2 linked regions of the Sus scrofa genome follow. The protein of the gene in region 2 interacts with the protein of the main gene of each other region in a pairwise test. Links are inferred from orthologs where the notes say so. Each region holds a gene or a part of one and is shown on either strand. Other genes may lie near its edges.

Evidence for each region.
Region 1: the proteins of TMCC2 (region 2) and IQUB interact in a two-hybrid assay, tested with the Homo sapiens proteins (2 studies listed by BioGRID and IntAct). The two-hybrid records come from large-scale screens. The link is inferred for Sus scrofa from reciprocal best matches to the Homo sapiens genes TMCC2 and IQUB.

What each region holds. Positions count from the first base shown.
Region 1 is NC_010460.4:23,901,489-23,905,758, reverse strand, and holds the start of IQUB (IQ and ubiquitin-like domain-containing protein), read right to left. Parts: upstream 2,805-4,270; 5' UTR 2,628-2,804; intron 1-2,627. UniProt on the Homo sapiens protein: Adapter protein that anchors the radial spoke 1 (RS1) complex to the A microtubule of outer doublet microtubules in axonemes. The triple radial spokes (RS1, RS2 and RS3) are required to modulate beating of the sperm flagellum.
Region 2 is NC_010451.4:65,950,327-65,953,107, forward strand, and holds the end of TMCC2 (transmembrane and coiled-coil domains protein 2), read left to right. Parts: intron 1-74; coding exon 75-210; intron 211-875; coding exon 876-1,187; 3' UTR 1,188-2,280; downstream 2,281-2,781.

The sequences.
Region 1 (4,270 bases), on a different chromosome or scaffold from region 2:
AAAAAAAAGTGCAATGAGACAAAACTAAACAAGATCTCAATTTTTTAAAAGTTCAAGAAACCTCTTCAGGCTCTCAATCACCAGAAAAAAAAAAAAATTCCTTTTGGTTATAATTTTCTCCCACAATAAAATTTAGTGGCCTGATAGGAAAGAAAGTAACACAAAGAAGCTCGAACACGTAGCATCATACTTATCCGCCCTTTCTGGAAAATCTGGGGTAATGCTTTTGTTTCTATCTGGTTGGGTCACCCTCCCCCCAAAATGGCCAAGACGGCATCTTCTAAAACAGCAACGGTAACAAAATCAAGAACTTCTGCTTTCCAAAAAACACACCTAGAAAAATCAAAAGACAAACCATAGCCTGGGATGTAATTTTTTGCAAAACTCACATCTGATAAAGGACTTGTACCCAGATTATATAGAGAGAACTCTCCAAACACAATTGAAAAAAAAATAACAGTAAGGGGAAAAAAATGAGTAAGAGATTTAAACAGATCAGTCACCAAAGATTATACATAGGAAGAAAATAAGCTGGGCCAGGACTATATTGAGGCAAGTGTGGCACCTGCACTGCTCTATACACACACTAATGCCTGAGAATAAATGCCTCCTAAAATGTTGGACCTAGTTGCCTCATTACCTCACTCTAGTCTTGTCCCTGAGTATGAAAAGATACTCAATACCGTTAGTCATTAGAGAAATAAAACTTCAGATGAGATTTCTCTAAACATCTATTAGAACAGTTTAAAAAAAATTTAGCCCAGCAATATCAAGAGCCAATGACAATGAATACAAGTGGAGCTCTTGTACCTTGATGTTGGAAGTGAAAATTGGTTTAGTACTTGAGATACTTGTCAGTTTTCTGGTAAAACTAAACACACACTTATCATATGACCCAGCAATCTGTATCCAAGAAAACTACATTCACACAAGATCTGCACACGAGTTGATAAAAGCTTCGTTCTTACTCACCAAAAGACCAGAAATAACACAAATATTTCTTAGCTGAGGAATGGATACCCGTACTATGATGCATGCATTCACAAAATGGAATATCACCCCCTCAGTAAAAAGGAATAAGTCACTGCCACACACAACAACATGGGTGAATTTCCAATGAGCTACGCTAAATGAAGAAGCCAATTCTAAAAGCTACATCATGTATGGTTTAATTAAGTGAAAAGGCAAAGCTTTTGGTTCGCAACCTCTGGAATTCCCTGGGTAGAGCTAAAATTGAGCCTGGAACACAGAGCGCAAGGATAACTGAAGAAAGAAGCAGACCCCTCCAAATTGTAGGTGGCAGGTAGCAAGGGTTGTCTTGGGCAGCCTAAAGACAGTAAATCTCAACATCCACCTGCCAAAATCTTAAGAGTTTTGAGACTTTAACTGGGTTCAGTCATATATACAGTTCATATGGTCTCAATAACACATGTCCTGTTTCAGGCACAATGGGAGAAGGGACATTCCAAGGACAGGAAAGGGAAAAGAGTCTTCAGCTGCCCACCTGGGTACTGGGTAAACCAGGGGTCAAGTCCTTTCAAGGACCTCCTCCAAAGAACATACCAGTATGCACAGTGTTACCGGCACAACTACATAATTGTTTATGCATAGAATTTCTCTGGAAGGTGAAGTGGAGGGTGGGGTGGTGGCAGAAGGACATAGGTGGAAAGCAGATTTTCAGTTTTTTGGGGGTTTGTTTGTTTGTTTGTTTGTTTTTGTCTTTTTGCCTTTTCTACGGTCGCTCCTGTGGCATATGGAGGTTCCCAGGCTAGGGGTCCAATCGGAGCTGTAGCTGCCAGGTTAAGCCACAGCCACAGGAACGCCAGATCCGAGCCCCTCTGCAAACTACACCACAGCTCACGGCAATGCCGGAACCTTAACCCACTGAGCTAGGCTAGCGATCGAACCGCAACCTCACGGTTCCTAGTCAGACTCCTTAACTACTGAGCCACGACGCGAACTCCCATTCTTTTTTTTTTTTTTTTTAATCATTTTTAATGTATTATTCAAGTGTAAATGTTATAATCTTTAAAAAGTTGTTTAAAAAGGAAAAACACTACGATGATTGCAGAACGTGCCTCTTTGACCTAAAATACATAATTTCGTTCATATATATATATACATACATATATATGTACAGAATATTAGTGTAAGTAGAAAGGCAGGGATCCAGTTTTGCCTTCCATCAAATAGCCCTCTTGAGTTTTTAAGTTTTTTAAGAGCCACAGCGAAGCCCGTGAGAGGAACGTCTGAGAGCGCTATTTTCTCAAGACTGAAAACGGTCACTACGAGAGGGTAAACATTTTCAAATGCCAGATCTGGGTCACACAAACGTCTTGCTTCTATATTATTAACCGTGATAAGCACTCGGGTGTGAGGTGAGGTACACATCCTAGCTTGGTGCTTCTGCTTCCGAATCCCAAATAAGAGATTTGGAGGCAGAAAAGTGACCAAGAAAGATGCTTTGCAGTTTTTTAGAGACAGCTGGAACATTCTAGAGAAGAAAAACAACGCCCAGAGCCCCGGCGGCTTCGGCGCCCTGCACAGAACCCAGGGCGTTTGCCACCGCCTCAAGGTCGGTCTGGGGGGTCGCGCCAGTAGAGGGCAGCCAGAACCTGTCCTCCTACCTGACTAATAAGTGCAGGGGTTTTTTTGGTGGAAGCGGTTTCTCAGGCTCCTAGACAGCAGAGTCCACACTTGCCGAATTCTCTGTTATCCGTCGTATCCTAGGAACGGCCCTGGCACCCCTCCCACCAGGGCACAGCTCCCGCGAGAAGAGGCGGTGCCCGCGCTGGCGCAGGGGACGGAGAGACTGGAGGGGCGGTTGGGAAGGGGCGGGACGGGGAGACGGGGCGGAGCCAAGGGGCGAGGAGGGGCGGAGCCAAGGGGCGAGGAGGGGCGGAGCCAAGGGGCGAAGAGGGGCGGAGCCAAGGGGCGAGGAGGGGCGGAGAGACGCGCCGAGGGAGGGAGGGAAGCTGTTACCTAGGCATTGCTTGGGTCGAAAGGTGATTCTGACCATAACCACTCTCTAAGATGTTCTTTACCCTTGTGAAATGGCACTGTTGTCCAAACCAAACAATTTGCCCTCATGGATATAAAAAGTCAGGGTTAGAGAAAATGTAATTATGAAGTGGTAGCGAAGACCTTGACAAAGGAAAAAACAGTTGTACAACTGTGTAGCTGGCTACCCGCTTTTGTTAAATTTGGAACTTGACTCTTAGCTTCCTGACAGCCAAAGAGAAAAGGGAGAGAGGAACTAGTCTTTTCTTTTTTTTTTTTTTTACCGGCTGCTCCGGTGGCATATAGAGGTTCCCAGCCTAGGGGTGAATAGGAGCTGTAGCAGCTGGCCTATGCCACAGCCACAGCAAAGCGACCTACACCACAGCTCATGGCAGCACAGGATCCTTAACCCAATGAGCAAGGCCATAGATGGAACTAGCATCCAGGGATGCTAGTCAGATTCATTATCTGCGGAGCCACGGTGGGAACGCCAAGAGAGAGAAACTATTAAATAATAACCCTTTTAAATCAGGAGAAGCAAGGCTTTGTTAATCATTGAATTACAAAGTGTTTCTTTTTTCCTCACATCACTGTAAATTAAAAAGATTTTTAAAGCACCCATTATTAGGGGAAAGGATCAATTACGTTCCTATTACAAATGCAGTAACAAAATTCATGTGGCTTTGTAATAATGGCTAACATTTATTAAATATCATTTGTTACTAAGGACTTTACATATATTTCTCATTAATTTTTTTTTCTTTTATGCCTGCATCTGTGGCATATGGAAGTTCTTGGGCTAAGTGTCAAATCAGAGCTGCAGCTGCCAGCATACACCACACCCACAGCAACACTGGATCCAAGCCACATCTGCAACCTACATCACAGCTCACTCACTGCAACTCAGGATCCTTAACCCACTGAGCAAGGCCAGTGATCAAAACCACATCCTCATGGATACTATTTTGGGATTTTAATCCACTAAGCCATAATAGGAACTCTTTTAATTTTTACAATTTCATTAAGGAAGGACTGTGAGCAGCTTCCTTCTACTAATGAGGAAACCAAGGCCTGGAGAAGTTTAGTGGGGGAGCCAGAAATAAACCAAGCAGTGTGACTCCACAGCCTCCATTTTTAAACCACTATTCTATGCTACCTTTGACTTAATACCATTTAATCATAAAAGATATGATTAAGTTATAAAATTAAAATTTGTGTTATAAAAATACTGCTCCATTCTTCCATCATAATGTTCGATGCCATCATTCTT
Region 2 (2,781 bases):
GTGAAATTGATCCTGGGTGGGAGACGGGAGGCTTGTGGAGCCAGGACCGGTGTCACCCCTTTTTCCTCTGCCAGGTACGAGCGGCTGGAGGAGCAGCTCAACGACCTGACCGAGCTTCACCAGAATGAGATGACCAACCTGAAGCAGGAGCTGGCCAGCATGGAGGAGAAGGTGGCCTACCAGTCCTATGAGAGGGCCCGGGACATCCAGGTATGATGGCCTCCAGAGGAGGCTGGGAGTGGGCCAGCTCCACCCCTTCCTCTTAATCAAGACTTCCCCGGAGTTCCCACTGTGGCTCAGTAGAAACGAATCTGACTAGTATCCATGAGGATGCAGGTTCATTCCCTGGCCTTGCTTGTGGGTCGGGGATCCTGCGTTGCTGTGAGCTGTGGCGTAGGCTGGCAGCTGTAGCTCCAATCAGACCCCTAGCCTGGGAACCTCCGTATGCCACAGGTGCGGCCCTAAAAAAGAAAAAAAGTAAAATAAATTAATAAATAAGACTTCCCAGAGTTCCCGTTGTGGCTCAGCGGGTTAAGAACCTGACATCGTGTCCGTGAGGAGGCGGGTTCCATCCCTGGCCTCGCTCAGTGGGTGGAGGATCTGGCATTGCTGTGGCTGTGGCACAGCGATGCGACCTCTAGCCTGGAAACCTCCATGCTGTGGGTGTGGCCCGAAAAAGAAAAAGAAAAAGTAAAAAGCTTCCCACCAGCCTCCCCAGATAGTCATCCTTAAAGGACACAGCCCCCAGCTACCGCCGATCACCCTCTACCCTGCCGGGCCTTGGGAGGAGGCGCCCCATGCACGGGGCAGGTAGGGTTCAGGCTGGGGGTCTGCCTGCCCTGAGCTCCCACACGCCCACCCTGTGTCCCCTGCAGGAGGCCGTGGAGTCCTGCCTGACCCGGGTCACCAAGCTGGAGCTGCAGCAGCAACAGCAGCAGGTGGTGCAGCTGGAGGGCGTGGAGAACGCCAACGCGCGGGCGCTGCTGGGCAAGTTCATCAACGTGATCCTGGCGCTCATGGCCGTGCTGCTGGTGTTCGTGTCCACCATCGCCAACTTCATCACGCCCCTCATGAAGACCCGCCTGCGCATCACCAGCACCGCCCTCCTGGTCCTCGTCCTCTTCCTCCTCTGGAAGCACTGGGACTCCCTCACCTACCTCCTGGAGCACGTGCTGCTGCCCAGCTGAGCGGCGGCCTGTCCCGACCCTGTGCGGTCCCCGGCGCCCAGCTGGCCATGCTTCCCCGCGGGGGGGACCCTGGGGCTCCGGAGTCCCTGGGACTTCTTCCTGTGTCCAGTTTGGCCTCCTGCCCAAACTGTCCATTCCAGCTCCGTCTGCCCCCTTCTCTGTTCTTGCTTTCTTCGGTCCGATGCCTTCTGTCCCTGTTGGCCTGAAGGGAGCCTCCAGGGTCACCCCGGCTGGAGGCGGCAGGGACGTCCGTGACCAAATAGAGCAGGGGACACCCTGATGGACTGTTTTGATTAAATTTATAGTCACACGATGATTTCTCCCAGCTGACACAGATGACATGGTTCAGGAAGGCCAATGAGCATGGGGACAGGGGAGGGCCATGCCTCAGCTTCCCTGGGGGAGAGGCTGGCAGCTCCTGTTCCCTCCTCCAGAGCTGTTTGAGGCTGGATAGTGGGTTGGGCCCTTCTGGGATCTGAAGGAGGCAGGCAGGCTCTCGGGAGGCTGGGTGGGCATGGCTTTGGATTCGTGTTTTCTCTGGAGTTCTTTCTGCCTGTCCCTGGATCTGCTCTTTTCAGGGAAAGAGGCCCGAGGGGCCCCCAGCCTCAGCCCAAGCCCTTAAGGTTCTATTTATTTTATTTATTTATTTATTCGTTCCTTTGGACCGGATCCCCCTGAGCTCCAGGGAGAGGGCCCCGCCCTCACCCCGTCCTCTCTCTGAAGCCAGGGCTGCTTCTTGGCTTGTCAGGCACTTCCATCCCACTTAGCTCTGGATCATCCTGGCTGCGAGAAGTGGGGGCAGGGCCAGCCGGCTCCACCTTCCCAGGCAGCCCCTCGGCCTCTTTTATACGTCTATTTATTTGGTATGTGTGTGTTTGTGTGGGGGAGGTTGTTTGTTGCTTTATTTTTTTAAGGCTCTGGAGTGTTGTGTATGGTTTCTCTTCCCTTCCCAGCCTCCCCGAGGGCGCTTCCAAGAAGAGGGGGGGCTTCTCGGAAAAGGAGAAAGAAATCCCCTTGGAGCAGGGGAGGGCAGGGCCTGCCAGCTATTGTGGACCTTCCCGAGAAATAAATACCCTCTAAATTTTCAAACCATCCTGTGTTGTGCTGATTGATTAGGCTGTTTCCGTGGAAACCACTCAGTCTCTTCCAACACTCAAGCCTTCTGGGTAACACAGCTGGGACCACACCCGTTGGCCTGAGACTTTATCCTCCAGGATCTGACGTTGAACAAGGTGTCATTCACCCTTCCATTTGCTTTCTGCAGCCAAAGCTCTGGCTTCGATGGTAGGGAGGTGAGATGATGCTTGTCCCATCCAGCACCTGCAGAGTGCTTTCTAGGAGGAAGGGAATTGGGAGAGCAGTTCCTTAAATGGGAGAAGATAAGCAGCTGGAGGCCTGGACGGCAAGTCATGCTCAGGTGTGGCCACGAGAGGGCAGCAGAGTCCTTATTCAACCCTTTCCTAGGGTTCGGTCCCAAAGACAAACAAGCCTCTGTTTTGTTTTAATTACTCAATGAATTTATTACATTTATACTTGTACAGTGATCATCACAATCCAGTTTTATAGGCTTTCCAAGTCACAACCCCAGCGCATA